Linked DNA regions of Drosophila melanogaster. Each later gene encodes a partner of the first gene's protein in a complex. Each region holds a gene or a part of one and is shown on either strand. Other genes may lie near its edges. The genes, in order: cnk and ksr. A codon is read from its position in the direction of its gene.

Evidence for each region.
Region 2: the proteins of cnk (region 1) and ksr are in contact, whole or in part, in a cryo-EM structure (PDB 8BW9), measured with the Drosophila melanogaster proteins. Residues at the interface, in NP_001286524.1 of Drosophila melanogaster: Lys79 (codon at 8,889), Asn80 (codon at 8,886), Asn82 (codon at 8,880), Gln84 (codon at 8,874), Leu88 (codon at 8,862), Glu183 (codon at 8,577), Asn187 (codon at 8,565), Ile190 (codon at 8,556), Gln191 (codon at 8,553), Ile193 (codon at 8,547), Ser194 (codon at 8,544), Asp195 (codon at 8,541), Pro196 (codon at 8,538), Val198 (codon at 8,532), Leu199 (codon at 8,529), Gln200 (codon at 8,526), Pro201 (codon at 8,523), His288 (codon at 8,262), Thr289 (codon at 8,259), Met291 (codon at 8,253); in NP_001287177.1 of Drosophila melanogaster: Arg900, Gly901, Met902, Lys903, Gln904, Ser905, Leu906, Ala907, Gln910, Ser911, Gly912, Arg913, Lys916, Asp917, Met920, Tyr925, Lys945.

What each region holds. Positions count from the first base shown.
Region 1 is NT_033778.4:17,410,124-17,426,249, forward strand, and holds cnk (connector enhancer of ksr), read right to left. Parts: upstream 9,885-16,126; 5' UTR 9,346-9,884; coding exon 9,288-9,345; intron 9,125-9,287; coding exon 8,961-9,124; intron 8,902-8,960; coding exon 4,450-8,901; 3' UTR 3,847-4,449; downstream 1-3,846. Other genes in the region: Prosalpha5 (proteasome alpha5 subunit), read left to right, coding at 2,788-2,920, 2,979-3,580; l(2)k01209 (lethal (2) k01209), read left to right, coding at 11,564-11,823, 13,533-13,840, 13,905-14,011, 14,075-14,382, 14,450-14,636, 14,696-15,289, 15,347-15,463; CG6550 (uncharacterized protein), read right to left, coding at 15,580-16,126.
Region 2 is NT_033777.3:5,474,763-5,491,063, reverse strand, and holds ksr (kinase suppressor of ras), read left to right. Parts: upstream 1-7,157; 5' UTR 7,158-7,426; coding exon 7,427-10,327; 3' UTR 10,328-11,074; coding exon of another isoform or gene 11,075-11,218; 3' UTR 11,219-11,281; coding exon of another isoform or gene 11,282-11,431; 3' UTR 11,432-11,491; coding exon of another isoform or gene 11,492-11,677; 3' UTR 11,678-11,742; coding exon of another isoform or gene 11,743-11,946; 3' UTR 11,947-12,021; coding exon of another isoform or gene 12,022-12,178; 3' UTR 12,179-12,674; downstream 12,675-16,301. Other genes in the region: NKCC (sodium potassium chloride cotransporter), read left to right, coding at 1-362, 427-538, 821-1,094, 1,165-1,281; CG31550 (uncharacterized protein), read right to left, coding at 1,671-1,697, 1,791-1,920, 1,974-2,532, 2,757-3,229, 3,887-4,013, 4,180-4,829, 4,884-5,425; Hcs (holocarboxylase synthetase), read right to left, coding at 6,157-6,334, 6,405-6,736, 11,075-11,218, 11,282-11,431, 11,492-11,677, 11,743-11,946, 12,022-12,178, 13,306-13,454 and 4 more.

The DNA.
Region 1 (16,126 bases):
GATTCGACGTCTCACGGGGGAACAATTACTCCACAATTCGCTGTGCTGCACGGGTAACGAGATCCAAGCTGGGACTGAATCGCTGAGCCGCTGCACTCAGCTTATATACACCGAAAAATTGGACTGTCTTGTCTTTCTATATCTCGCAACGCAAGTCGACGGTGCGGCGCATTCGCAACTCTTTTGCTGCCCGCTGTTGATGTTGTTGTTGGGGATTTTGGCTTAGTAATGAAAAGTCAGTCGGGGGAACGGTGTTATATGAAAACAAGTTTCGGTTTCATTTTCCACCAGCGGGGTGGTAGGGAGGGAATGAATGTACGCCACTGGAGGCACGACTCCTGCACTCGAGATATTACAACAAGGTAACCGGGTCGTTATCCTACCAGACAATAGCTAGGAAGTGGAAATCAGTGGTACACAGACCCACATCAAAAATCGGCGGTGGCTTTGATTTGTTGGCCAAAAACCATAGCCAATTGGTGGCCGAGGCTTCCGTTTTCTTGTTGGTCCCACACCTGGACATATGATATATAGATTCGAGTGGCTGGGATTATGCAAATGCCTGCGGCTATTGACTTCAACTTTGTTGCAAACCCAACTCACCGAAATCCAATAGCCAAAACATAAGCCCAATGTGGTAAGTGGCGGAGACAATAAGAAGGTTAAATGTAGCACAATGCGTTCGGATATTCGATATATTTCACATATCTGTATTTCATATCGTCTTATAGAGCTTTATGGGGTCATCCACAGCATCTCAGCTTGGTGAGTGGGCCCACAAAAGATATACACCGTAAAAACTGGCATCTTCTTCAAACTATGAATCTTCTAGATGTGTTCGAAGTTTTGAGTTTATCTCATGTTTTCCTATATTTTCTTAGCTTAGGAGTCCTATTCCGCATCTTTTCCAGTGCATAGTGTGGTTCACTTTTTGGCATCATTGGAGCAGCATTGGGTCAATGGATTTTCTAGTTGCATGGGCAAGGGGATGCATTGGTGGTCCGCAACGAAACCCCTGACACATGGCTGCCACAACTGGCAATTTGGTGGCTCCCTGGCCGATCGTGATTGCTGCCCACTTGTGCCGCCTGTGGGAGCCCACGGCGTGACTGTTTATATGTATAGATACATAGATGCATATGTATGTATCTGCTGGATATACCATCGGATCCCGTGGATGCATGTGCGACGTATTCGCAAGTGCGCATTATGTGATGTATGTCTGACTGGCTGCCTGGTTGCCTGGAATTTTGTGCAATCACTTGCAGTCATTAAATTGAAAACATACTTAGCTCCGCAGTTGGCTATTTTAAAATCCATCGTGTGGCAATAGCAACAATTCGACTAAACACAACGACTTAAAACAAAAGCCAGGTAACTCTCATTTTCTTTTATTTTTCGCCAATCCAGCCTGGCTAAAGCCCGAAATCGAAAACAAAAAAAAATAAAAGAAAAAACGACAGACGCGGAAGACAGGCCATAGCATTTACATGCCCATTCTATTTCATAATCAAATTTAGGCCCCGCTTTTTTTTGCCTGCTAATTGCCCATTGTCCAGTTTGTCCGCCACTTTATACCTCTCCCGCCCCCTCCTCATCGTCAACCTAACAACTTTTGCACCATTTTGCTATTGCAATTCTTCGGGGCGATTAACGGCTCTTTCGGTCTGATTAACGGGTTTGCAGTGTCTGTCTCTCTCGCTCGCACACGCCGGATGCTCTCCCTGTCCCGCGCACTGCAATTGGTCAACGACCTTCAGTTGTATTTTTTTTTTTTTTGGTTAAATGGTGGCAATACTTCTCCCCTGCTCTTCTCTTCGCGCCACTCCCAAATCTTCAGAAATCTTCGCATCTTGTGGCGCACGTTCGCTTTATCTTTGAAAGAAGGGTAAAACAAGATGGCAACCTTGACCCAATCGTTATTCCATTTCCATTCAATCATGGCTTCTCTTGTAACGCGGGGATTTTCTGACCATTGGAGACTGTGCGTGTGGGGTGTGATTAGATTTGAAATTGCCATAATTGGACAGTCGGGCAAACCGACGAGCCGCCAATGTGAAAGTAAATCTCTTAATTCGATTGTTATGCAACTGCTTCCTTTAGTCCACATTACACTGATTCGTATGTGAAGCTAATGAAAATATATCGGAAATTAAAAATAGATATTTAGATGATAGTAGCCAGTATCAAGTAATAAACGTATCTGGAAATTGGTAATTAAACCGGGTCCTTGAAGTAGTCCAACACTTAACTGGTTGTTTGACTTATATAACCATTTAAAGGCTTAATGGCAATCATGTCAATTTGGGCATTAAAGCGGGAAATGCAAGAAACTTGATTGGCATTGCAGCAGAGCTATTTTCAGTTAATTCAGTCAAAAACCTATAAGATTAAGATTTCTAAAAACTATATTGAAAATACCTTAAAAATCTTTTACTTCTTCAAAATATTCTTTGTGATCGTAATTGTAAATGAAAACTTAAAATATCAATTTAATTTTTTATTTAAATATGTGTAAAAATTAACAGCGACAAACTTGCCAGATCAACCAATTTTGATGCAGAGCTGCCAACCCATGTTTAGTACAGTAATATTATCAATCGAATAATGTGGCAGCACTAGTTATCGATATAATCAGAGACGGCACTTTATCCGCAAGTCATTTCAGCGTCAAGTCATCCGGCATTTGTTTGCGATTTTGTTAAGGAAATTATAGAAAAGTAAGCCCTTTTCGAAGTGTTATTTGTCAACCAGCGTGCATAACACTTAACTAAATTACAGCCCACCATGTTTCTCACGCGTTCCGAGTACGACAGAGGCGTGAACACCTTCTCGCCGGAGGGCCGCCTCTTCCAAGTGGAATATGCCATTGAGGCCATCAAATTGGGCTCCACAGCAATTGGAATTTGCACGCCAGAAGGTATGTTCTTTGCTGCCATAAGTACACGCGGAGATCTAATGGTAAAATTGCATTCCAGGAGTGGTTTTGGCGGTGGAGAAGCGCATCACTTCGCCGCTAATGGTACCCAGTACTGTGGAGAAGATTGTGGAGGTGGACAAGCACATTGGTTGCGCCACCTCCGGCTTGATGGCCGATGCCAGGACTCTGATCGAGAGGGCACGCGTGGAGTGCCAGAACCACTGGTTCGTCTACAACGAGCGCATGTCCATCGAGTCCTGCGCCCAGGCTGTGTCCACTTTGGCCATCCAGTTCGGTGATAGTGGCGACAGCGATGGTGCCGCCGCCATGAGTCGTCCCTTTGGTGTGGCCATTCTATTTGCCGGCATCGAGGCGGGACAACCCCAGTTGTGGCACATGGATCCCTCCGGCACATTCGTGCGCCACGGAGCCAAGGCCATTGGCTCGGGCAGCGAAGGTGCTCAGCAGAATCTGCAGGACTTATTTAGACCCGATTTGACTCTCGATGAGGCTATCGACATTTCGCTCAACACACTTAAACAGGTTATGGAGGAGAAACTAAACTCCACCAATGTGGAGGTGATGACCATGACGAAAGAAAGAGAGTTCTACATGTTCACCAAGGAGGAGGTGGAGCAGCACATTAAGAACATTGCGTAAGCGGCAGTGGTTTTAAATTGATCTAATTTCAAATGTAATGTGAATAAAGAAAGGGATTCTAAATCGAACTAATAATAGAAGGTAATACTCGTTTTGATCAAGTTGATTTGGTTACATTAGTAAAAAGAAGCAGGGTTCAGCACTTCTGTCCAGAGATTCTCATTTCTTAGGTCTTTGAATAAGTTGCGTGCATAAAAAGATTTTCAATCCTCCTCTAATGAAACAACCTGTTTCTTGAAAAATCCCAAAATAAAAAGATCGTTATTCTATTATGTACAGTTGACTTTATTCGTATGCATGTATATTTCGTGTAATTGTGTATATATATATTTCTTGCATTCCGCTACAACATTTCTGGCTCCATTGGCGTCGCTGGATGCCATTACAATAATATCTCATTTCGCATAATAATATATGTATATTACACGCAATCTAGACACAAACTGTTGAGCAAATCAAACAGCTCGGATTAACTTGGTTAATCGCGTACAAAGGCAAATCATAAAGAACCGTCTTTGTTCGATGCACAGACTTCTAAAGTTATTCTCCATTTTCGCTATAATTCATTGTTTTGCTTGCGTGACTACATGTGTAAAACATTTTGCCTAGAACCGAAATACAATGCAAATAAGGCAGATTAAACATTTACATCTAAGTGGGTTTCGAATCGAAGGGATTGCAGGTATGCGTGTGTTTGTTTCTGGTGGACAGACAGGGAAGACGATCAAAATGAACAAGTTGTATACCTAAATCGTACGAGAATATCGCTATATATAATATATATATATATATCTATATGCGTGTGTATAAATACATAAGTAAACGGGGGCTAATCCCCGCGAGCATTCACAATAGTTTTCATCACACATCTAGGTCTGATGGTGTTCGCCGCCACTGGGACTGCTGTTGGTGTTGGTGTTGTTATTGGTGTTATTATTGTTGTTGTTGTTGTTGGTGGTGGTGGTGCTGGCGGTGGCACTGGTGGCACCACTGCTGCTGGGCGTCCGCATCACGATGCGGGACAAGCTGGTATCGCTGAGCGAGTAGATTTCCGGCTCAAAGACAGGCGGACACTCCATATTTGGATAGTCCGGCGTTGCCGCCTTCGAATCCACAGATCCCGAACTGGACACTTTTGGGGTGGCCGCACACTCTGATATCGTTGCCTCCGCTTGCTCCTCCTCTCTCTGCCTGCTGGTGTTGACGGGAGGCGGTGGCGCTGGGGGCAACGGCGGCTGCAAGCCCTCCGACGAGCACAAATTAGTGGTCGAGGTGGTTAGTATGCCAGGTCCACGGTAACTTCGATATCCCGCCTGATTGTGCGTGGGCAGGGTGATTTGGGAGAAGATCTCCTGATCGCAATCGGGATCCGCACTGCTTGGTGGCGTTACTGCCTGCTGCTGATGGTGATGGTGCCCGAACAGCGTGCGATGCAGCAGCGGTGAGCCCAGGAAACGATTCTCCTTGGAGGGCTTCGCCGGCGTGCCACCCGATATGGAGAGTTTCGAAAAGATTGGTATCGGGGCCGAGTTCTTGCGATGCGCATCGTACTTGGTGCCCACTATCTTGTCTCGCAGATCCTGATTGTACGTCTGGCTTTTCTTGATGCTGCTGCCGCTGCCGATTATGGTGACTCCATTGCCTACGGCTCCATCCAAGGCGTGATTCGATTTGGACTTCTTGTTCAGCGGCAGCGTCATAGTCATCGCATGACCCGGCCCACAGCCACTGCCCGCGGAGCCAGTTGAGTGCTTGGAAAAGGGAAACCGACGATCGCCGCTAGACTTTCCTTTGGACTTCTTTTGATCCGCACCGGATCCGGAACTCTTGCCGCTGCCGCCGCTGCTGTTCTTGTGCAGGAAACTGGAGAGCTGTAACTGCTGTGAGCGCAAGAAGTGCTTGGCCTTGCTGCTATGTTGCTGCTGCGTCTGCTGATGTTGTAGCTGCTGCTGCTGTTGCACATGCTGCAGGTGGTGCTGGTGATGATGATGATGATGGTGGTGCTCTTGCCGGCTGATGGAGCTAGTGCTCGGCTCATCCCCACATATCAGCTCGTAACCAAAGTCGCGCAACTTCTGACCTTCCTTAGTTCTGGTTCTCTTAATACTCTCGTCGTCAGGCTTAAAACTGATCTCGTAGTCGGGTGTTTTGGGCAGACTCACGCTCTGGATCTTGGGCAACTTTTCCAGCGGCTTTGTCACGCTGCTGCTCATGGCGCTCTGCTGACTGGCCGTGGATTCCGTCCGTGCGTGCTTGTGCTTCTCCACACCCAAGTGCACTCGATTGTTGTACATTTCCTGGGCCTCCTCCTCCTGTTTGCGCAGCATCAGATCCTTAAGCGTCACAAAGCCCTGTATATTATGGCCATGGTCGAGTGTATTACCCACACTCATCTTGGGGAGTAGTGTTTTCGAGGTATGGAAATCGAATTCCACCAAATTCGGATTTGAGGCGTGCAAGAAGTTGAATGGTGCCTTCTTCAAACTCGACTTGCTACTGGGACTCTGGCTCTGGCTCTGACTTGGACTCTCCTCGGAGCTCTGATGCTGCAGCGATGTGGGAGTGGCTGTAGGCGTGGGCGTTGGCGCTGGCGACGCGGGCGGACCCAGAATCGAAGCAGATAATGATACGGCAGACTCGGTTCCACTGACCACCGAACTCCTACTTGAGCTACGCGACAGTTTAGGACCCACCAAAGGTGGAATCTGTGTCGGCGGCATTGCGGGATCATGGTAGCCCGGTGTATTGGCACCAATCTGAATGCCAAAACTTCCGCCTGGCACCTTCCTATAGCTGCGGTATTGCTCCGTTGGCACAGGGATGTCGCTCGACGGTTTCGCTGCACTGCTCTTGAATGTATTCGTAAATTTGCGAAACGAGTCCAAGTAGCCGCGTTCATGCTTAATGGGTGCAGAGGAAGGTGGTGTTCCGCCAGATAGTGTCATCGACATGGACATTGACTCCTTGTTGCCTTGCGGCGAGGGCGTGCTTAAATTCTGGATCACAAGGGCATCGCATTCCTCGCCTGAGCTATCGTTCTCCGAATACAAATCCTTTGCGTCACCACCGCCTTTTGAACCCGTACTAGGCGGCACTTTGAGCGAAGCCTGGCGCAAGAAGTCCACCCATTGGTTAAGTGCGTCCAGCGACTCGGCCGCAAAGTAGAAGCTCTTGGCCGTGTGGTAAACTTTAAAGGCATGCGGTTTGGAGTGCACTTCTTTTGCCAATGAAACCGTAAAGCCCGGTAAAAATATTACCAAGCTGGCGCTGGTACTCTGCTTACTGCGAAATCCGTACAGTATCGTATCCAGCATCACGAAATAGATTCTCGCCCAGTAAGTCACTCCGCGATGATTTTTCTTGCGCCTGTACAGATGACCTTGGATATCCCCAGTCCCCAACAGCTTGAGATTTGTGTTCCGCCGCTTGGCCATTAAGCTGTGCTTCTTTTTAAGGGTCAGTGTCCGGGATTTGCTGGGCGTATGAAGCTCACTGATCTCCGATGGATCAACTGCGGCTGGTACAGGTACTGGCACGGGAATGGAGATACTGGTGATACTACTAGCCGGCTGCATGCTGGCTGGTTTTGGTGGAGGTGGAGGCACCGCCGGTGGCGTCATTTCCCTTTGCTTGCGGGGTCGCGGTGGCGGTGCTGGCGGTGTGACAAGCAGGAACTCCTTTCTTGGCTCAATCGCTGGCGGCGTATCCGATTCTTCACCCGAATTATCGTATGCCGGAGTACTATGACTCTTGTCTAATCGGCCCCTTCGACCTTGCTGCAACAAAGGCATGTTAATGGCCTCGGCCAGGGGCAAGTCCTGACCTTTTGTAGCCAGATTAATTGCCTCTAGGAGCTCCTCTGCGTTTTCTGTTTTGCAGTTGCGCAGCGTTTCCAAGGCGTCCTCGTCTCCCTCATCCGCAAAGGGAATCGGTTCAAAGGTCTCCAGTATGGTGTTCTCAACGTTACAGATAAATTTTTCATTCTTCATCACATAATCTTCCTTGGCGTCGAACCGAACTACTTTGCTGACACCCGGCTTGTAACGATCCACGAGGAATTCGCGCTGCGAGTCCTCCGTCAGCTGCTTTAGTTTTCGCGCCTCATGAAACATTCGCCTGGCCTTGTCCGTGGAGGTATCGCCCGCAATCCCAATGCAAGTGGTCGGCCTTGCTGCCATCTCTAGGCCATAACCGAAGGATATCGACTTATCCCGTATACTGGGCGAGCCAGGGTCGCAATTGGTGGGCGAACCAATTCCTGGCTTTCTTTCGTGCCACGATGGAACGACTAGATCCGAGTTTTTCAGGCTAAGATACTCGCATCCACAAATAGTGTTTCTTCGTTGGAGCAAAGCTCTTGGCTTTGGGTAATACAAACGGATCTCCCGTGCGGCTAGCTTGGGATCCGTTGGTGTTGGAATATCACTGCAACTGGAATCAGAGTCGGAGGCAGAGGACACTGGATTGGCCTTGGTAAGTACCTCCCTCTTCTCACTGCTTAGGGATTTACTGGGATCTGGCACCGCGCTTCCTGTTCCTCCTGTTGCCAGTTGCTCCGTGTCCAGGGTTAAAAATGCAGCACGGGGACTTGGCATCTGTGCCGCCCAGCGGGCGGCCATATTCCTCTTCTTGCTGGGCAACCTGTACGGCTGCATATAGATCTGTCCAAACATCTTTGTGTGCTTCGGCCGTTTCTTCACCGTCAGCACCACATCTGGAAGTGCTTCCCTCAGATGCTCCAGTACTGTGCGATGCTGCCAGCCCACAACGGTCTGGTAGTTGATCTGCACAATCTCGTCGCCATCTTCGATTTTTCCGGAATTGTGAGCTGGCGAGTTGTACTTGATATCCGTGACACGGTGAATGCCATTATAACTGGACTCTATGTTGAAACCCAACTCGGATTCGCGTTTTTTAAGGGTGACAAGGTTCAGAGAGGCTGGCTGCAGTACCATGGGATCAGATATGTCCTGGATTACAAAGTTGGCAAGATTCTCGAGCCGTTCCGCTGACTGTCGAATCGCTGGCACCGGCTGCAGGGCAAAACGATCACGGTGGGCAATTGTGGCCAGCTCCAGGCCGCATTTGAGCACATTGCCACAATACTCGCGGTACATCTCCTGCTTACGGAACGGTGTTCGCTCCAGGCTGCCCACCAATGGCTTTAGAGTAGCTATCGTCCTGGTAATATCGTGCAGTATCCGGGTATCGATCTTAGTGCTCTCCGCATGATTCCTGGCCAGTTCGCGATGCAGATTCTTAGCTGCCGTGGCCACATGCAAGGCCATGAACTGCAGATTGTCGTTTTTCAGGTGATAATGCTGGAATATCAAGCTCAATTAACGGGTTTGTATGTCACAATATTTGTTTGGGGTCTCACGAAGTTTCTTAAGTTCTCCACCGCCTCCAGCACGATCTCCTGATGGCCAATGCGCAGCATGCCCAGATTCTCCAGCTCGTATGGCCGTATGTTGAGCAACGCCCGTCCGCCGATCTCCTGCTTGGAGAACTCGTACAAATACCCCTTCATAGACTCATCCAGACCTGCGAGAATCAGGAAAACATAATTATTATGATGTGCCTGTTGAAACCTTGAACAAAGCGGAAATTCTTGTTGCACTTGTTGTTGCTGCTGCTTTTTGGGGCAGTGGCTGCGAGATGCAGTTTTTTTTTTCTCAGCTGCGCTTTCCTTGACCTCGAGCATTACCTTTTATCCAGTCGGTGACCTGGTCGGGCGTCCACTCGGCGATGTTGATGTAGGCCATCGCTGCTGCTGCTGATGATCCGCGCTGGGCCGCACCTACGGCATATTATCAATTCGTGCTGCAAAAACACTCGAACCAAGTTCAGAATTGCTATATTGTTGCGTCTCTCTGGTCCGGAGTGACCATCTTTTAGAGCTCGAACAATACTCGGTGCTCGTTAAATACTATCGAACTAGCGTGGCAATCGATTATTTAATGCATTTTAAAACTGAACAAAATGCAATTTATTCAAAGTTTCTTTAAGGGACAGAACAAGAGGAAAGAAAACTATAAATTATGATACTACTACATACTACTTTCTCCATCCAAGATAGCCAGGAAACAGCCACATGTTTCTGTATGTGTTTATTTTTATAGTCTTAATTAATATGAATTTGGCTTGCAGTGCAAGAGAGTAAGAGTAACAGTTATCGATAGAGGACCAACAAAAAATAATCGAATTGGTAATTGTCTCATGTTGATATATTTTCCGAGCACTACCGCTATTTACAACCTTTTATTTGTTAGTACCTAAAGATCATGTTGTAAGCTAATCTTTTAGAAACCACAAAGTTTTATGTAAAATATTCACTTATATTGACACAAGCTCGAAGTAATAATTATCAAACATTTAAAAACCCCGCTTCGGATTTAGCCATTCACATTCGAATTTACTGCAACCCAACAGCCAACAGCGCTTCGCAACACTGTCGCCGCCCCAATCAAACAGCTGAGCGCCTTGCGAATGGAATTGAATTGCCCCAAAACATATAAATAAATGCCTCAATGACAGCATCAAATGGAGATAAACAAGGCAATGAGCGTCCCTCCGCTCCAGTGCCTTTCCCCAGCTGACAATTAGCACTTTACTTGACCATTCAAGCTCGGGTAGATGTATACATATGTATGTATACGAAGGCGGCGCACGTTTTTCCAACGCAATGCCTTCAGAAACGAATCAGTCACTTGCTCGGAGAGGGAGAGGCACGACGAAGTAAATCACCGCGTGTTTTTTTCTAATCGCTGCAACTGGCTGCTGCAATCACTATTCTCTTGTCGAAATGTCTGTGACCCAGACGAAACAAATCAAGTTCTACAACCCATCGAGTTCCGCTAGCTCCGACAGGTAACGAACGACTTTTTAATGCCGCATTAATTCACGCACGGCCAAAAGTAAAGTGTGAAAATCCAACAGAAGTCATTAGAATGTGATACACACTCACACACACACCCGCGCACAAACATATCTAAAGAGCATGTGCTCCAAGTCATTCATCGTATGTACGTACGTACCTACTTACATGTGTGCGTCGTGGGGCCTCTAATCACGCAATATAAATAAATGCTGGGAAAATGGCATAGGGCCTGCGTTCGCAAACACCACTACATGTGCAAACGCATAACATGTGATAAATTCAATTTCGATATAGTCGCCGGTTGCATCGGATCGGAAGAGAGTGTGAGAGAGAAGGCAAAGCGAACACCCTGCGAGAACAGTTACAAGCTAGGGATGGGCGCGTCAGCGAGTAACTTGTAATGTTGCAGTTTGAAAAAATAATATTCATACCACAGAAACATTATTAAAATAACTTTGGTGCGATCCGTGGAATGCTATAAAAAATTACTTGTGTATAAGTATATGTAGCGTGAAATATTTTATGATTTTATGCGCCTAAAAATTAGAATATTTTTTTCTCTAACAAATTAAATATCCTTCACTTAACAAAAGTAAAAGAGACATTTGTTATGCAAATTTGGCTAAAATGTAGAGCACATCTTCGACTGAGTCGTGTCACGCCAAACCTCATGTACCACATGCCCACCTCTATGAAGGCTTGCGACAACAACAATGCAGAGACGACGCCGGCAGAGGAAACCGCAGCGCAGCGCAGCTTTTTAACCTTAGCTGCCTTAACACTTTTTCTTGTCATTCAATCCCCAAACGCCGCTCACCTCGCACTTCTCGCTACACCTTTGGCTTAATTTTTTGTTTTCATTAGTTATCGAATAAATATTGGCCGCAACGCAAAAGGTGAATCGCTGCGTACGAAATAAAAACTCTAAATCACATGTGATCCACGCCGGCGGCGATTCGCGTGAGCGTTGTGTGAGTGAGTGACCCATTTTGGCTTGGCATCGCCGGTTGCTGTGTTCTTGCTGCCTCCACATCCAAGTTCTCACGCCCACGCCGACGGACTGAGTGATTCAAAATCGCTGGCAGATCGGGATCGGGCTAAAAATGAGCAGCATCACGTTTTTGTGCAGCAAGTCGGGCCACAACACCAACAACAACAGCATTAATAGTAGCAATAACGATGTTCCAAAAGGGGCAAAAGCGAACTCAGCATTTGCAGCCGCATCCGCCGGTTTACTAACCATCGCAAACCACCAGCAGCAACAGCTACTTCAGCAACCACATCAACAGCAGCAGCAACAACAACAACAGCATCATCAGCAGTCAAAGGTTAAGGCTATAGCAGCCAAAACCAATGGTCACATGTAATTCATTGCATTTTCCCCATTTCTTAACGTAAAAACCAATCGAAGTCCCATTTTACATACCAGACGTTCATATATGTATGTTTGTACATTCATTTGTAGAGAGGCATATTTGTGTGTGTGTGTTTGTATTTGAGTGCTTTTTGTTGTTTCTGTTGTGTGTGTTATTTACCGCCATTCTAATTGTTTTGGTGCTGCGCTTGTTTGTCCAGTCTCCCGTTTCGCGACGTCTCTTTCTATTCTCAGTGTTTAATTAACGCTTGCTGTGTTTAACATTGTTTATTGAGTCTGCCGCGCGGCAAGTAACAACAAATGGTGAAACGATGATAGCGTCAGCAAGTGCTCTCTCGATTCTTCAACATGGCAGCGATCACAACAACACACATGAGCCACGTTTGCCATTTCCAGTTCCCTTAGCCTCCCTTTGGCTCCCAATGTCCTGCATCTCCCTCGCCAGGAAACTCCCGCTTGCCGTCCTTGTCCCACCCGCCTGGAAGGCCATAACCTGTTGGTTCCTTTTTTGGGAAGAGCACGGCACACGTGGCAAGCGCTCATCTCTCGCTTCTTTTGTTGGTGTGCAAAAACTAAAAATATGCGGAGGAATCTCGTCTGTGGCGTCACCAGATTGTTGGCCCCACACTGAGAGAAAAATGAAACATTTTTGATTCTTCTAAATTTACATTTTATCACAAGTACCCCAAACTTATTTTAATATTTATCGTTTTTATGTTATGATAAATATTGTTCTAAAATTTTGACAACATTTTTTGACCTTCTGCAGAATTCTAAAAAAATATATCCTCAGTTTTTTCTTTCCGTGTGGTGAATTTCATTTTGGTACGCAAATGAAGAGCAGAAGATACAGAGAAAGGCGGAAAGAATGAGTGCAACGAACGCGCCTACGCAGCATTCGATAAATGGATACGTCTAGCGTTGCTTTGTCTGCCGGCCCCTGTTTTCTTATTTTTGAAATCTTCCCAGAATTGTATGATGAGTGTTTTTGCATGTACTTGGCCCTAGTTATTGTCTATTATTATTGTTTTAACGGCCAACTTCTTTCTAGATATTACTTACTAGTATTAGATATCAACCCATCATGATCATATCGTATTTCATGCCAAATCACAAATATTCCCATATCATATTACTGCATATTCCTGCAATACTTTTGCTATACCAACGTGATTTATAAAGGGAGCTGTAAATGTAACGTATTAGCTGTTCTCATTGAAAGCCATATAAGAATTAACCTGATAATACGTAACGATGTTATCTTCTATCACATTCAATTAAGGCCTCAAGTAACTTGTCTATTTATAGAACATATTGAGCAGTAGATTAATTTTACGTCGACGATATGCCTGGTTTCTCGCGTTTGTGTGGGTGTCAATACGTGTGCAGATGGGGGCTGTTAAAGTAGAGTAGGTCAGTGAGTATACTGCATCCTTGAACTTATAGCTTTAAGCTTGCATTGCAATAGCTGGTACGGCATGGTAGAAATTTCACTAACACGTTCTGTAATCTACTCTTTCGTACATATCAAAATATTTAAAATTATTATGAAATTAATCAGTGCTAGGTGATAAAAATGTTATCTCATGGCTAATCACTGAATTCCAATTATTTTACTTGTGGCTAACGTCATCGTTAAATGGTGGGAGTGTAGAACTTGATAATCGCCAACTAATCTATATACGTACTATTTGCAGCGATGACCGTTCACTCTCGGATGTCACAGAGCAACTCTATGTGGATCCGTATGCCGACCTAAGCAATGGCTTGCCCGGGGATCTCAACTGCTGTCCGGCCTCGCCCACCACAGTGCCTGCTAAAGCATCGTTGGATTCGCCTCTTAAACGTTCCGGTAGGAGACAGCGAACCACATCCATTGGCAACCAGACCACCACAGCGAATCCGTCCGAATGCATCATACGCGCAAATAACCGCACGATCTACACGGCCGGACGACCGCCGTGGTACAATTGTGCTGGGCAACAGGTGGAGCCCTTCGTCATAGGTAAACACATCACTCCCAAAAAACAAATCTTTCTAGTCTCTCTAATGTGCTTAATTTCCTTCAGGAATCTGCGGCGGTAGTGCCTCTGGCAAGACCACAGTGGCTGAGAAAATCATCGAAAGCCTAGACGTTCCATGGGTAACACTGTTGTCCATGGACTGTTTCTACAAGGTTGGAGAATTATAATTTAGTTGACGAAATACATTGACTGAATTCATTATGTTAATCCTGTAGATCCTTAATGAGAAACAGCATGAGCAGGCCCTGATCAACGAATATAACTTCGATCACCCGGATGCCTTCGACATCGAGCTGCTGCTGGACGTGCTCACCAAGCTGAAGGAGGGCCGAAAGGTGGAAGTTCCTGTCTATAATTTTGTGACACATGGTCGTGAGAGCCAAACGAAAACCATGTACGGGGCCAATGTGATCATCTTCGAGGGTATTCTTACCTTTCATAGTCCTGAAGTACTTAAATTGCTAGACATGAAGATATTTGTGGACACAGATCCCGATATTCGTCTGGCCAGGCGGTTAAGAAGGTATGTGATGGTTCTCGGCTCTGCCTACCTTGATTATCATATTTTGTTATCAATTGTTCAATTTTAGGGACATCTCTCAGCGCGGACGAGACCTCAAGGGCGTGCTGAAGCAATACCTTAATATGGTTAAGCCCTCCTATTGCAATTACATAGCTCCAACAATGGCCCATGCAGATATCATTGTTCCTCGTGGAGGCGACAACAAGGTGGCCATCCATCTCATTGTTCAGCACGTGCACACACAGCTGCAACTGGTATGAATTGCCTGCTTGCGGTGCTGTTCACCTTGTTAATTTGTCTGTCTGTCTTCCAGCGCGGATTTAAGCTGCGCGAAACTCTGGCCAACTCCTACAAGGACCAGCCAATGCCACATTCTCTGCACTTGCTGCATCCCACGCCCCAAATAAAGGGCCTGCACACGTTCATCCGTTGCCGAAATACGTCCCGCGATGAGTTTATTTTTTACTCAAAGCGCCTGATACGGCTAGTCATTGAATATGCGCTAAGCTTATTTCCCTTTAAGAAAACAACAGTGGAGACTCCACAAGGTGTCCTTTACGAGGGCAAGCGTATGGAATCGCGAAAAATATGCGGCGTCTCAATTCTCCGAGCTGGTGAAACAATGGAACAAGCCGTTTGTGATGTGTGCAAGGACATTCGCATCGGAAAGATCCTCATCCAGACCAATCTTAAGACCGGCGAGCCGGAGCTTTACTACCTGAGGCTGCCTAAAGACATAAAAGACTACAAGGTGATACTAATGGATGCCACCGTGGCCACAGGAGCAGCGGCCATGATGGCCATTCGGGTGCTGCTGGATCACGATGTACCCGAGGACAACATTATCTTGGCCTCGCTTTTGATGGCTGAGATCGGTGTGCACTCCATTGCCTATGCCTTCCCAAAGGTGAGATTGACACTAAATTCCAAAAGCCGGCATTTATTTATGTTCTTCTTTATGTAGGTGAAAATTGTTACTTCCGCTCTGGATCCGGAGATTAATAGTAAGTTTTATGTTATACCCGGCATTGGTAACTTTGGCGATCGCTACTTTGGCACGGAACCCTCTGATGAGTACTAAGGAGATCTGGGCCAATCCATACCTATATGGAACCATCAAGTTTCTAATGTATCTTAGGTTAAGTTCAAAACGTTACTTAAATTATGAATTTGGAACGAGATGTTTTATTGATGTGGCTATAAGAGTCGAACTACAAGCTGTATGAGGAAAGCAAGACTTCCCAACACCAAAGCGATGCCAAAATAGCGTTGGATTAGTCTTTCCCGACTCCTGGTTTGCACTTGAACGTTTGGTAACTCCTGATTTTTTGCACACCTCGTCCAATCGCGTTCGTCGTCTAAAATTTCTCCCACCATGCTAAACTTGCTCGCACTGGTAATTCGCACATGGACACGAGTACCAAGAAGGTTATCCCGCATGGGCAGCAGTACTTGCTCGTAGCTCTTGTTGTGGCCCACGTAATGGAGCTTGTCGTGTGAAACTTCTGTGACCAAGACGGTGTATATTTCACCCACTCTGTCCGCATAGGGTTCATAGCTGTAGAAGAGATCCGTGAGACGTTTAGTTCGTTTCTTCACCAGGTTTGCGGGGATGCGATCCATCTTAGCAGCTGGTGTGCCCGGACGAGGGAAGAACTGATTGATGAACAGACTGGGAAAGCGATATTTGGCGCAAAGGGTCATCGTCTCCTCGAAATCGTCTTCTGTCTCTGTTGGGAAACCA
Region 2 (16,301 bases), on another chromosome or scaffold:
CGAGGTCACTCTGCCGGCCAACGGAATGGGTCACATGCATACCGCCAATGCGCATGGATTCACCAACGAACTGATGCCGGCGGCCAATGCAGCCTCGGAGCTGCTGCACATTGACTCCAACCTGAACCTAGCCAGCATGGACAGCCCCAACTCCTCTTTCACAATGCCCCAGCCAGCACCGATGCCCAACATGCAGCGCAACTCCCGCAGCTACAAGGTGACCAGCTCGGATGAGCCCGCCGTCACCTACCACACCAAGGGCGGATCGGACATACCCCAAAACTTGCTGGACGCCATGACCATATTCACGCGCAAACAGCCCAAGGGCACAATCGATGTCTTCTGGCTGTACGACGACGGAGGTGGGTACTTGGTCGTAATCAGCCACTTTGCAACTAATCCACAAGTCATTGGGAATACATGTAGGTCTCACAATTCTCCTGCCCTACATAATCTCCATGCGCTCCCACTGGCAGAACTCCAAGCTAAGGGTGTTCGCAATGTGCCACGGAAAAGACGAGGAGCAGGAAGAGAAGAGGTAAGTCTTTAGAACAACACGTAACAGGCACAAGAATGCGTTTCCGAATCCAAAGTATACAAAGGTCGAAGGTCAAAGGGTTTGGGTTCCATTTGAGCGAAAAGAGTTCCGATCAATAAAAAGGAGAGGATATGCCTTCCACCATCCCATATAGTTCCGTGAGACCGAAGAAGAAGCCAGGACGGAAATCAAAAGATGATTATTACTCTCACTATACTATACTATTATTTTGAAAATATTGTCACAAATATGATAGTACAAATGGTAAATTCTACCCTACAGCATGGCTAGCTTGTTGACCAAGTTCCGCATCAAGTACTCTGAGCTCATTATGCTGAAGGGCGTCTCCGAGCAGCCGCGGGCGGACACGGTGCTGAAGCACAAGCGGCTGATCGAGCCCTTCCGCCGCGGAGCCCGCAACGAGTTCGGCATCACGGACGATGAGCTGCAGAGCATGTCGGAGAAGACGAATCGCCAGCTGCGCATCCATGAGCTGGTGGTCAAGCACTCATCAAACGCTTCCCTGGTGGTCATGTCCCTGCCCATGCCGCGCAAGGTGAGACATTCGGAAATGAGCACTAACATCGTGATTGACCACTAACACATGCGTATTTTTGTATTTCCAGGAGGCCATCTCGGCACCGCTGTACATGTCATGGCTGGAGATGCTCACGTCGGACATGAAGTGTCCGGTGGCATTGGCGCGCGGCAACCAGACGCCCGTGCTGACGCTCTACTCCTAGACTAGCCCTCGCTTCCAGTTCGAGTACAACTTAGTATTATTAGCGTTTAGGTGGTCCAGTTCCCAGTTCCCGGTAGAATCGAATCAGTCCCTTGATTGGGAGTTGTGCAATGTGCCGCCGAATCAAAATGGAATTCCAGAGCCCAGACTCTCGTTCTAAGAGACCTCCACACTTCTTACTTACGTACTCCTTTGTACGATCGAACTCCTAAACGCTTGCAATAGATTTAAGTTAATTACGAACTACTTACTGAATAAACGACCCCCTAAAATAAACTGACGTGTCCGCTGTTTAATTTAAACGAGGACATTTTATTCAGCAAAGTTGCAGTTGAATAAGTGGACCTAGGATATTGGTAGTTATGTGGGTAGGGGTCATTTTAGGTAGTGCTAGTAGTAGGCGCGACGTGGATTGTTCTGCAAACAAATAAGAAGTCATATATATTAAGCATTTATAGCTATCATATTAGTTATGTTCTCTTCCCTTGCCAGTTTCCAGGGATTACTTACCAAAGGATTTGGACGAAAACGATAGGCCAACATCATTCGCTTCCTGTAGGCGTCATATTCATTGTCGCAGTCCTCTGGCTGGGCAGCGCTGCTGACACCAAGTCCTTGGTTTCCATCGCGTTGCGGTGCCCTGTTGCCATATTATACAGTGAGATACTTTCAAACATAGGATAGGTAACCTACTTGTTAACGGGGTCCACAATTCCAGCTCCGTCCTGTCCTAAGCCCTGCCCCTCTTTCCAGCCGAGTTTTTGCAGCATTTGGAAGCCAATGTTGTCCTCCTTTAGTTTGTACTCCTTGTAGTCGCTTAGATCCGGCTGCCTGTTGTTCTTCTTCGCCTCGTACTGCTCCATGAACTTCTTGAGCTCCTCGGGGGGCAGAAAGTCGCCGATGTGATGCTTGCCTTCGCTTTGCTTGGTCAGGGCGTTTGCCCATAGGGATGTGGCCTCCATTTCGGCTGTTCGCAACTTGTGCTCCCACGTCCCGCCCTCAATGTCCTCGTCCGAGTCGTATTCGTACTTGAATTTACCGCCACGGGCCAGTCGATCGATTTCCTGACGCTTGCGCATCATGTCCTGATACAGCAGGTTTACTTTGTAGTGCTCCTCGCACTGCTTCCACTGCTCCTCGCTCAGCTGAGTCGATCCATAGTTGAGCCGAGCATACTGCAACAACGCGGGATCTGTTCGCGTGATGCCACTTAGTATGGGTTTATTTTGGTTACCAAAGTTTCCCGAAGTGCCTGTAGATAATAAGGATTGTTGTCAGTAGCGTCATAATTATACATATTATTTCAGTGGTAGTGGCAGTCGTCTACATCTTTCTGGTTTTTAAAATCTGCGAGATCACAGCGTTCATACGGACGGACAGACAAGCAGATAAACGGACAGACGGGAATTGACAGATCGACTCGGGCTGTGATCACGAATATATATACTATTTAGGGTTAAGAGTATATAAACATACTTGAGGATGGCAACTGTTGCTCTTTCTCGCCCCATCGGCTCTTGCGCTCGCGCTTCCTACGCTGCCTCTGCGACTCCTTGTCGTCTTGGTCGTCCTGGTCATCGCCATCCGGCGGTTCTCCGGATGCAGCCTCCTCCCGTTCGCGCCTCTCCTCGTCGCTCAGCTCGTTGCGACACTCAATGCGGCGCTTGATGTTGTCCCGGTTGCGATCCATCATGCCCCGCATGTACTCGTCATCCGAGTCGAAGTCCGCGCTGATGGCCGACTCTGGGTCGTACTTGTCAGCCGCCGAGTTGCTGTGCTGCTCCTCGCGGTGTTGCTGTGCGTCCGTCTGCTCCGTCGCCTGCGGCTGATGGTCCCGGCTTAGCTTCTGATGCTCCCGCTCCCGTTGTCGCTCAGCCCGCTGCTGTTTGTAGTCGAGGAGTTGGTCGCTATAGCTTCGATACTGCTCGCAGCTCTTATCATAAAGAAACCTATTATCAAAATTCAAAAGAAGTGAAAAGTACAATGAAAAGTGCTCGACGTTAGTCACGTGTACAAAGACATTATATGAATAACTGTTTGAGGCGCCCCAATAGCGGCTTATTCAGAGATTATTAGTTGTCATCCGCCGGCTGGCTCCTCCAGACTTTAGATGACGATCGAGGAACGACGGAACACTGTGCGCTCGATGAGTCCACGCGACTGGTCTGGCTAATCCTCCTACACCCCCATCAAGTTGGTCCGTTTTGTCAGATGTTACATGGCATTGGTAGTATTAATCAGACATCTAACTTAAAACGCATCAAAGAAAAACATGTACATGTCCACTGTTTGTGATTTTAAATTCACGATTGAGTAAGCGGAACGGAAATCTGTGCGTCTGTGTGTGTCGTGTGAAATATCGGAGTAATGGCAATTAAAAACAACCAAACTATAACATAAATCGGACTAATTTTTAAAATTCAATTGTTACTATCCTAAAGAACTGGCACTTATACAATGATTCAACTTGCGAAAGCAATTAAGTAAACGTGAAAAATCCCCAATTAAGACGGACTGTACGACCCCCCCCCCCCCCCTCCCCCGGTCCATCCCTTATGTGCATCTACTACCACTAGTCCCAGTTAAAACATGTTTAGGTCATTTACCACAAGGCCGGATGCAACTCGCTTCTATGCAAACGTATTTTATCTTCATAATCTTCACCATTTTCCGCGACCAGTGCGATTAGGTTTTCTAAGCACGTTGGCAATTGTATGCACGTTTCTGAAAAAACTACATAAATTGCTTTAAAATCGTGCTCAACGATTAAAGTTCTATACAAATTGAATGAGTAGGAAGTTGGATGTGGTTAGAATGAGAGTATATATTGGATGTGGATAGGGAATGGAGATGGCAAATCAAAACAGGCAACGAGGACTGTTTTGCAAGTGTTACACACCTTGTGGCGGCGCAGCTGTGGGCTGAGGTGGATGTGGAGGTGCCACCTGCTGGCGCTGTTGCTCCATTTCCTCCACTACAGGTGGCGGCGGAGGCGGTGGGTGTGGATTCACTGGCATGGACATGCGGTCCGGCAGGAGGCCAAGCTGCTCCGTCGAATGACCACCGATGCTGGGCATCTGGATAGCCTCCAGATTTATTTGTGGCTTAGGTATGGCATTTAAGTCAAACTCTTTGGGCGCCGGTATGGCATTCAGCTGCATAGCCTCCACTGGAGACGGACCAAGCTGCATGTAAATCTGTCCCATGTTGGTCAGAGCGATGGGCAGCTGTGGAGGCGGTGGAGGTGGCGGAGGAGCAACTGCCGCCGGATGCAAGTGCAGAGGCAAATGGCCGTGGAAGAATGCAGCTGGCAGCTGCATCTGCGGTGGTCCCTGTTGCAAAAGCGTAGGATTGAATGCAAATGGAGGCGGCGGTGGTGGCTGCACTGCTTGCACGGGTAGTCCAAAAGCCAAATGAGTTGGCGCCGAGCTGGTCACCGTAATGGAGGTAGCCATGGCTGCTGCCGAGCTTATGGCGATGGCCGCCTCTAGCTGGGGACTGTTGTTCTGCTCTGCTGTTTCCGTGTCCACGGCTTTGTTCTCCTCGGCGCTATAATTACCCACAAATTAATATACATTAATATTTTTACGATAGTGGACTCACCTGGGCACTGGAACCGGCGGAACAATCAAGGGCTGCGGAGGCTTTTCGTGCTTTTCGAGTATTTTCTTGAAGTTCTCTAAAAAGGAACCATCGTTGCAGAAAGTGTTTTTAACCTTCGGTGGTGGCTGCTCAACACTGGGCTGAGGCAGCTGCTGACGCTTCATGCCAAATGTGATCTTGCCCGTTTTGCCAGTGAAGCTATTCAGCGTCTTGGGGGCCACCGCGTCCTCCGTCTTTCCCTTGCTGGCCGTGGCCTCAATGTGAACAGCCTCCAGGCCATCCTCGCCGGCCGCTAGAGAGGTGTCCTGGACGGCGGTGTCCAGGTATCGGGCATCCTCCTCATACTCCACCTCGTTGCCAATGGGTTTTCCCACAGTCGTCTCGGTTTTCAGCTGCGCTGCCAAGTTCTGCGCCGCGGCCACCGCCTTCGCCAGCTGTGCCGTCTTCTGCTTCTCGAGGATCTCTTGCCGTTTCTTGGCTATGATCTCCTCCTGCTTTGTCATCTGGGCGAAGCGGTCCACTCTGTGATTTCGCTGTGACATAATTCCCAATGCCGCAGACTCCGTTTTATTCCACAATTTTCTTTTCCAGCAAAGCAACAGTGTAACCAACTCACATACTTGGAATTATACCAAGTCTTCGCATCACCAGTGTTGACAATTTTATAGGAAACTACACTGTCAAGCTCTCTTTAGTTCAGTTCAAAAAAATTTTAAAAAATATAACTTTCTAATGAAAGTTCAGTTCAAAAAAAAATTTTAGAAGAATAATAAAATAAACAATTTTAGAATAAAAAAATTATGTAATAAAAAAATCCATCTTAAATTTAAGATAAGACCTGTGCGGCAGTTAATCTCAGTGGTCTAAGGTCAGCAATGATCGAATATGTATTTATTAAATTCAAATTTCAAAAACACCCGTATGCAGAGGAATCGATGGCGATAACAATGGTAACAAACGCGATTATCTTACGAAGTAATTTCCAAACACTGGTTTATAGGGAACAAACAAATGTACCTGTCATTATAAATATTTTGAGACTTCCTTTAACATATAATTCTCTTTGGCAGTATTTAATTTAGTGGATTAAATTATCCATTATTATTTCGTAAAGCCACTTAAGAAGAATCACCTTGTAAATATTTATAAGGATAAACGTTTTTACGTAGTTATAAATTGACCTAAATTTGCCTAAAAAGTACAAGTTGCTTAAGGGCCAATTAAACTAGAGGGTTCGGGGAATAATATGAGTTTTCACATCTGCTTCATTTCACTATTGATACTTGGGTATAATCAATCCCTTCAACATATCAAAGCTGTTTCCATCGGGCTGCACAATTTCTATAGTACCAGTTGGTAATTTCACCTCCAAAAATCCAAAGTCATCGATTCCCACAATTTCGGCCTCTTTTTCCTGATCTTTTTGTAGGCAAATCTTAACAGATTGCCCGCTGTACATAAAAACATGTTAGTAAATGTAATATGCAAATTAAATGTATTTTAAAAATGTTTTAAATTTACCTGTGTAACCATAGCGAATAGTATAATGCATAAAAACTATCAAAGTCTCCGTTTTGTACTTCTCCCAAAAGTCTTTCGATTTCATTGAATATCATGGCAATAAGTAGCTCGTACTTAAGTATAGGTAACTTGTTGTTCGGGACACGGGTATTATATTCTCTTATCAAGTCATTGATGCAAACTGTTGGTCTTGAATTGTTCAAATTAATTCCACTTCCGATATTGACGATGGCTTGGGATCCCTGAAGTGTGGTATTAATGACGAGGCCCCCAATTTTCTGATTTCCATTTGCATAAATGTCATTCGGCCACTTAATGGAAATATCCAGCACCTGAAGGTGATATGAATAAATTAAGTAAAACTCGCCTATCTCCGTAATATTACATATCATAAAATATAAATTGGAACATCAAATATTAACTTAAAAAAATTATTTTTAGTTATAAAATTAAAATATTAAAATAATATCTACCTAATTTCCATTTCCAAATAATAAAATATAAATATTAAAATATTTGACTTATTTCGACTAATAAAATAAAAATGTGAAAATAATTTCTGGATTAATTTTTCAAATAGAATTGAAATATATATGCTATATACACTCGAAGACATAATATAATTACAACATAAGAATAATAATACTTAACGTTCTATTTTTTTTAAATACAGAGGAGTGCCCCTAAGTTTTTCGGATAAGTGCTTTTAGTACATTTTGGTGTGCAGTGAGAAGGAGTCCTCCCGGGTATGGTCACACTTCTCTCGATGCGCTACTTGGGTGTAGAGAAATTTCAACAACAGCCGAGGAACTTGTACAAATTATTGCTTTTTCGCATTGCCTAAGCCGTTTAGAGTTGCGGGCGTTAGCGTGCGCGATAGCCGGAGCACCGAACGTCAAGGTCGCTTGGCGAGGGCCACAATGCGGGGCGGAGTCCCAGCCATTGGTCCCATCGAATCGTCGAGTCCCCGAGGGGGCGTCTGAAAAAATCAATCGGGCTCCACTCCGTCGCGAATAAGCAGGATGAGCAGCAACAACAACGCACCCGCATCGGCTCCAGACACGGGCTCCACCAATGCCAACGATCCCATCTCCGGTTCGCTGTCCGTAGACAGCAACCTGGTTATCATTCAGGACATGATTGATCTCTCGGCCAACCATCTGGAGGGCCTGCGAACGCAGTGCGCGATCAGCTCCACGCTGACGCAGCAGGAGATTCGTTGCCTGGAGTCGAAGCTGGTGCGATACTTCTCCGAGCTGCTGCTGGCGAAGATGCGGCTAAATGAGCGCATCCCGGCCAACGGGCTTGTGCCCCACACAACGGGCAACGAACTGAGGCAATGGCTGCGCGTAGTGGGCCTTAGCCAGGGGACTCTTACCGCCTGCCTTGCTCGCCTGACCACTCTAGAGCAAAGCCTGCGTCTCAGCGACGAGGAGATCCGTCAACTCCTGGCTGACAGCCCCAGCCAGCGAGAGGAGGAGGAACTGCGACGCCTGACCAGGGCCATGCAGAACTTAAGGAAGTGCATGGAGTCGCTGGAGAGCGGTACTGCGGCTAGCAACAACGATCCAGAGCAGTGGCACTGGGACTCCTGGGACAGGCCCACCCACATTCATCGCGGCAGTGTGGGAAACATTGGACTGGGTAACAATTCAACCGCCTCCCCGAGAACCCATCATCGCCAGCATGGTGTCAAGGGAAAGAATTCCGCTCTGGCCAACTCCACCAACTTCAAAAGTGGCCGCCAATCGCCCTCAGCGACAGAAGAGCTGAACAGCACACAGGGTTCCCAGCTGACTTTAACCCTTACGCCCTCGCCACCCAATTCGCCCTTCACGCCTTCCAGTGGGCTGAGCAGCAGCCTTAATGGAACACCACAGAGGAGTCGTGGTACCCCGCCGCCAGCTAGAAAGCACCAGACCTTGCTGAGCCAGAGTCATGTGCAAGTGGACGGGGAGCAATTAGCCCGCAACCGTTTGCCCACTGATCCCAGCCCCGATAGCCACAGCTCCACCAGCTCGGACATCTTTGTGGACCCAAATACTAATGCCAGCTCCGGAGGAAGTTCCTCGAACGTGCTTATGGTGCCATGCTCTCCGGGCGTGGGTCACGTGGGCATGGGTCATGCAATCAAGCATCGTTTCACCAAGGCCCTGGGCTTCATGGCCACCTGTACCCTGTGCCAGAAGCAGGTCTTTCACCGCTGGATGAAGTGCACCGACTGCAAGTACATCTGCCACAAGTCATGCGCACCGCACGTACCGCCCTCCTGTGGACTTCCACGAGAATATGTGGACGAGTTTCGGCACATAAAGGAGCAGGGAGGATACGCCAGTCTGCCGCATGTGCATGGCGCGGCGAAAGGATCCCCTTTGGTAAAAAAGAGCACCCTGGGTAAGCCCTTGCATCAGCAGCACGGCGATAGCAGTTCGCCGAGTTCCAGCTGCACTAGTTCCACGCCCAGCAGTCCGGCGCTGTTCCAGCAAAGGGAGCGCGAGCTGGATCAGGCGGGCAGCAGCTCTAGCGCCAATCTGTTACCTACGCCTTCGCTTGGCAAGCACCAGCCGAGTCAATTCAACTTTCCCAACGTGACGGTGACGAGCAGTGGCGGAAGCGGTGGTGTATCGCTCATCTCCAATGAACCAGTGCCAGAGCAATTCCCCACGGCGCCTGCAACAGCCAACGGAGGACTTGATAGTCTGGTGAGCAGCTCCAACGGGCACATGAGCTCGCTCATCGGTAGCCAAACTTCAAACGCTTCTACTGCGGCCACCTTGACGGGCAGTCTGGTCAATAGCACAACCACCACCAGCACCTGCAGTTTCTTTCCGCGAAAATTGAGCACAGCCGGTGTGGATAAGAGGACGCCGTTCACCAGCGAGTACACGGATACCCACAAGTCAAATGACAGCGACAAGACAGTCTCCTTGTCTGGAAGTGCCAGCACGGACTCGGACCGGACACCCGTTCGTGTGGATTCAACGGAAGACGGAGACTCGGGACAATGGCGCCAGAACTCGATCTCACTCAAGGAATGGGACATCCCGTATGGTGATCTGCTTCTGCTCGAGCGGATAGGGCAGGGACGCTTCGGCACCGTGCATCGAGCCCTTTGGCACGGAGATGTGGCGGTTAAGCTGCTCAACGAGGACTATCTGCAAGACGAACACATGCTGGAGACGTTTCGCAGCGAGGTAGCCAACTTCAAGAACACTCGACACGAGAACCTGGTGCTGTTCATGGGAGCCTGCATGAACCCACCATATTTGGCCATTGTGACTTCATTGTGCAAGGGCAACACCTTGTATACGTATATTCACCAGCGTCGGGAGAAGTTTGCCATGAACCGGACTCTCCTCATTGCCCAGCAGATCGCCCAGGGCATGGGCTACCTGCACGCAAGGGAGATCATCCACAAAGATCTGCGCACCAAGAACATCTTCATCGAGAACGGCAAGGTGATTATCACGGACTTTGGGCTGTTCAGCTCCACCAAGCTGCTCTACTGTGATATGGGCCTAGGAGTGCCCCACAACTGGTTGTGCTACCTGGCGCCGGAGCTAATCCGAGCATTGCAGCCGGAGAAGCCGCGTGGAGAGTGTCTGGAGTTCACCCCATACTCCGATGTCTACTCTTTCGGAACCGTTTGGTACGAGCTAATCTGCGGCGAGTTCACATTCAAGGATCAGCCGGCGGAATCGATCATCTGGCAGGTTGGCCGTGGGATGAAGCAGTCGCTGGCCAACCTGCAGTCTGGACGGGATGTCAAGGACTTGCTGATGCTGTGCTGGACCTACGAGAAGGAGCACCGGCCGCAGTTCGCACGCCTGCTCTCCCTGCTGGAGCATCTTCCCAAGAAGCGTCTGGCGCGCAGTCCCTCCCACCCCGTCAACCTTTCCCGTTCCGCCGAGTCCGTGTTCTGAGGGAACTGCAGCATGGCCACTGTCACTGTCTAGTACAATTTCGATCTACCAACTAAGCTAGCTCGCTTTGTGCCCTCGTCCACTCTACACAAACTCTCTCCCAAGGCGAAGTTCTATCGAGCCGAGCGAAGATTGTAAATACATAAACGTAACTACCAAATTATAGCAATCCATTTTAAAAACTACATACATATGTGTAGGCATGTATCGGGAGCACTCCAGTTGCAGTTGTTAGCAAACGAAACAAAGGCAAATCAAATGTTAACTCGAAAAAGACAAAACGCTTAAATGTTTAAGAGCAGAGGCAAACAGAGAAGGCATAGACATACATATACAAACAAACAAACAAGCACTGTGGCAAACATAAATGTAAACGTTAATCAGGTGAGCAATTTCTAAATTGTTAATTATGTGTAAGAGAACTATATATATATATATATATATATATATATATATATATATATATATACATGTATATACAGCAGCAATGTATTGTATATGACGGACTAGTGTTAAATTAAATATATATTGTGAATTATGTATGGTCAAGTGTATATAGTAAATGGACTTTAAATGCGAAATCGAAACAAAATGTCAAATAAACTTATTAAACCTAAAAAATCACTTTGTGCACTTGGCAGTTTTACAGATCCTGAGGTTCGTCCCATCGTCCCACAGGCGGAGATAATCGAAACAATCTTAACTTAAGATTCAACTAAATGGTAAAACTTTACAGTCTTGACTCACCCCGTACTCTTCATGACTGCGGAGCGAATTAACAATCGCCGTTCCAACAAGGTGCTGCAACAGAGGCAGCCGAGAGCTCAAAGCGCTGTCCATGGTCAGGTGCAGCTGCAGCGAGAACATGGCACAGCCCGGCGGACTAAGCCACTGGAAAGCACAAAGCGATGATTTCAACAAGAACTTAAATCTGGATGCTTCTAGAGTACTAACTTGATTATTTCTGCGACCCACTCCGGACGTCTGCTGCACGGGGAGCACAGCCAGGCCGTGGATGAGCTCCAGGTTGTTTATGAGATGCATGGAGCTGCTGACCACCGGTGCATAGATGACCAGTCGTCCGATGTGTTCCGTCTTAAGATTCTTTAAAATAAGAGGAATTTGGGTTAATTCTGCTATAGACTAGAATTAGAATGCGCTCACATCGAAGTAATCCACGGTGGAGAAGTCATCCGGACAGGAATGTATGAGTATGGGCAGGACATTGTTGTTGGCCACTGGAGGCTTATCGTCCTTGCCACAGAACTTCATCGTCAGGTTCGGCGTTGCTATCACGTTGTCGGATCCGCTGCAGCGCAGACGTAGCTTCTCCAGAAGCTCAAACTTGGCCTGAATAACAAAAAGAGCTAGAATATTGGATTCTGATGCCAAAACAAATGGAGAGACGAACTGACCTCGTGCCGACCTAGGAAATATGCGTGCTTGTAGACAACTCCAGGCTGCGGCTGGTCGACACCGTCTCCACCGCGGACCTGCACATCCAAGTACTTTCCCAGGAGATCCGCAAATATCTCGAGGCGAGTTCGCTCGTTTTGCTTTAGAATGGAGTACTTAGTCTCATCGGATTCAAATTCGCTGGGATTCATTTCCAAGTGCACCTGTTTTTTTTTTTGTTTCATAGGAATGTTTTTTTTTAATATATGTTTGTTATATTTACATGAGCAATCACTTACTTGGGAGAAGACGGCCTTTCCGCCGCTCTGCAGGCTTTTGGCCAACATCAAGCTGGGCGTATTCCAGGTTTCCTCGGTTCCCAGCACATGGACATCCAAATTGTGGCTGTGACCGGCCAGATCCTTCAGTTCCATGGACCTTGGACATACTAGAGCTCTGAGCAGCGTTTCGTGGTTTGATTTGTGTTTTTTTTTCGATTTTTGTTTGTTTTTGGTTTGTTGTTATTTTAGTTATTGGTAGGATGGATTATAATAGTGATAGCACACACATATAGAAGCACACGCAGAAATTTAAGGATTTAGAAGGTAAACGTAGCAGGATGGTGAAAAGGTTTGAAATGCCAAATGTTTATAACACAATTAAACAATTAAATTACATGGATGGCACATTCAATCGATAAAAAACAAGAGTTAAGAGAGCTTACAGAAAACATAGATAGGTTAGTTAGTTAGGCGGATTGAAAACGGAGTTTAGATAGATGGATTACAGTGCACACCGAATCAAATAGAAATTAAGCCATATTTAGAGTAAACGAGACCAATTTGAGCATGAAACATTTGAGAAATAAAATGAGAATTGGAATTGGTTAGAATCGGTTTAGTATAAGAACGATTAATTAGGATTAATTCATTTCATTTCAAGCCCCATTCAGAAAAAGTAATAATATACATAAATGAAACAAGACAGGAGGTTGGTTTCGGCAGGCCGAAGTTCATATACCCTTGCAGAAATTACATATGTATATGTCAAGAAAAAATATAATACAAATTAAAACGGGAATTATATATTCCATTTTTATTTCATTTATTTTTCGATTATTCCTATGGAAGCTATAAGAAATAGAGGACCGATTATTCCCTTTTCTTACTTACATATTTCAGGAGGAAGTCTTTTCATGCAAACAGCTTTAAAACTGAGAGGCTAGAATCCTTAAAACTGGATGAACAGACGGACTTGGCTGGTAAAACTGATCAAGAATGAAGAAAGTGCCTTTTAACCCTTTAAGCCCTGAAAACTTCTGACTGGAAGATATATACCTTCTGCAAGGGTCTAAAAAGTAAAGCGTTATAACTTGGCCTCTTTTTTACAATTTACCCGACGGCTGTGCAATAATCGACTTGAATAGGGCTTTCGGGTGTATAAAACATGCAACATTTCGGTTTCAAATACACTGATACTCAGTTAATGGGCTATTTGTTATTGGCACTATTAAGAAGATCGGCAAGGTTAGCAATGTGTTTTGGTCACTGGCAGTCTGGATGGGAGCAGCAATAGCTACTTACGGTTTGCGAGAGTGCGACTTGGTGGACTCCTCGCTGTCAGTGGAGAAGTGCTTCTTCACCGGCGACGGTTGGTAGCAAAAGATGTGGTGCATCATCTTGACCCGCTGCCACTTGTCATAGGAGAACTGAACCAATTCGTGCTCTCGAACCTGTAGAACACGGGATGGATGTTGGCGAATTTGGGTATATTTTCCACAAAACAGAGTCCTACCTCCGCTGTGCGATAGTTGGGGAGTACAAAGTGCAGTATATCCGAGCACAGGCTTAACACCTTGCCGCCCTGCAGAAAGTAGTCCACCAATATCTGCCCAATTCCGTGTGCCACCGATCCGCAGACGACCAGCAACGCAGTCTGTTCCGTCCAGTATTTTTGAGCCGCTTGCTGAGGCATCAGAGGATAGATCGTGTACACATTGCGCTCCAGCAGCTGCTGCAGAGTGGCCAATGTGGATTCCCGCGCACTGGCGCTGTCTGAGTAGACCAAAACATTCAATGGTTTTGCGTCCTGCAGGCTATCCTTGTTGCGTTGCAGCACAGGACGCGAGGGAGCAGCTCTGGATGACGGAGGAGAATTTAACGGCTTTACCGCCTCAAAGGATTTCCTGGGCTTCGTTGGCTGATCTGATGCCTTATCAGGCTCATCATGTTTACTTAGCATAGGTGGTTTAGCTAAGAAAGCAGCCTTGACGGGAGAGACCTGGACTGCCTCTTTCTTCTGCTGCTGCGCTGCCTGGACAGCCGCTAGTTTCTCTAGTTCGCTTGTCTTTAATGCACCCTTAGTTGGCGTTAACTTGGAGTCCTCTTTGCTTGTGGCTGGCGTGCCCTCGCTCTTGGCAAGAGTGGCGGGTTTGGCATCGCTTTTAGTCGGAAAAGGTTTTGTTGACGTTCCCTTGGCCTCGGCTTTGAGCGAGGCTTCTGTCGTCCTTGCCGGAGACAGATATGCCTTGTTGGTGGGCTCCACCACGGCCACAGCCTTGGCCAAAAGCTCCGAAGTCGGGCGTTGATCATGTGTGGTGGGATCCGATTTCGTTCTTCCCTCAGAGCGATTCCTCTGGTACTCGAACTCGGTGGCCTGGTGCGCCAGCACACCTACGGCACGCAAGTCCTCCATGTGCTTCTTCCATCCATCCTTGTCCAGACCGACGCTTATGCGGGATTGCCGCTTCAGATGCTTGGCCAGAAGCTCAAAGGGCTGCGGATCCCCTTCCCGTTGCACCGCTGGGAGGGAGAAACAATAAATCAGTGGGATTTTTAAGATGAAGTCAAATTCTTAAAACGATTTCAGGTGCAGCTTACACTCAATCCGCAAAAGTGGCAGCTGATCGTTAATGCATAAATTATTTCTCAAGAAAGTCGTTATCAAAAGTTTCGTGAAGTGCTCGACGTCTGTTTCGATGAGCACCGCCAGGTGGGAATCTATTTTCCAAGCAATTAGCTTACCGTAATCTTCCAGCTGATTCATGGGCCGCCGACATGCAAGAAGAAGAAAGGACACACGAGAGGATACCCCTAGTTAGTGTAGTCGTATGTATGTATGTATGACGCCAGCGCTCTAATCGATTCAACCATGTACATCTTAATAAGATTACCGCACGCAACACCGTCCACATTGCGGCGTCACCCGAAGGTCGATTGTCCCTATCTGTTCTCATTATGATGATACAAAGTGGGCTAACTTTAATTACGGTAGCATTCTTAAGATACTTTGGAGTAATATTCGTAGTCCCCCTTTAATGGTGAATTCCAAACTATGTAGTTAAAAGTCCATTAAAAAGCTATTCCTACATCCTGAAGTCTTTGAACTATTCTGTTGCAAATAAACATGTATAAACATGTATTTGTGGACTCCGAATTGTGGCAATTAAACATTTATAACTTGAATTTGCTTAAGCCTTACTGTTTTTTATTGATGGATTTGGAGATTAAAAAAAACGCAACACGCCGTCGGGTTAACTTACCCGTACTGCTGATGTGTCCTCGGAGCTGGGCCGCTGTAGTGGCTCTATGTCGGCCTCAAGGAGCAGCTGCATCCGCTCCTCCCCTTGGGCAGAGAGCGAAACCCGTTGTTGGCGCGGGACGTCCGCCTCCGTGGGCGTGGACGCCGGCGTTAACGTGTCGGCGGCATAGGAGAAGGGAAGCAGACTGGGCGCCGGCGGAAAGCTGATCCAAGGCGTGATGTGTAGCGTTTGCAGCGGACGCAGGCAGCAACCCCGCTGGTTGGCGTGCAGCCACAGGATGTCCGTGACCTTGGCCGCGTTCCGATTGCAGCACAACTCCGAGCTGGCCAGGGCGGGATCTGTGGAGGAAGCAGGCAGTCTATATAAGCGTGAACGCCTTCCAATGACGCCGCCACTTACCGAATCCGTCATCGCTGCCCGATTGGAGGGTATAGAAGGCGATGCTCGAGGGCTGCGCGAGGTGCTCGGCGATCTTGGAGCACGCCTTTTGAATGCGCCAGGACTGCAGGACGGTGGCACTCACGTAATACAGGGTCAACATCGCAGATTTCTGGTGGGTACTGCTTCCTCCGCGGACTCAAAGTTTTTTGGGGACTAATTCAGAAGCCGGGGCACAACTTACATATTGATGGGAACCAAAATCAATGGCGGTTTCGTAATTGGCTCCGATTTTGCTCGGCTGGCGGATTTATCGGTTGCCCAAAGGAGCGCTTCCTGATTCGCCGTTTTTAGCCAGTTGACACACTTTCTGCATTCCCTTGTCCACTGACTTTTATTGTTGATTACTGCATTCTCCAATTCCAATACTCCAATACGCGTATTCCAATATTCCAATATTCTCTATCACGAAAATTAGCGCGAGCAGAGTCGAATTAGAAAATCAAAATAGAAGATAAACTAACTGGACAGTGCTGCCGGCCCGGCGGCTTTCGGTCATATCTGGCGGGTTTTTTTTTTGGCAAGCGTACGTTCGTGTATTTATTTCATTTAATACATTAGGCTTAAAAATAAACCTAAATGAAAACTAAAAGACACACG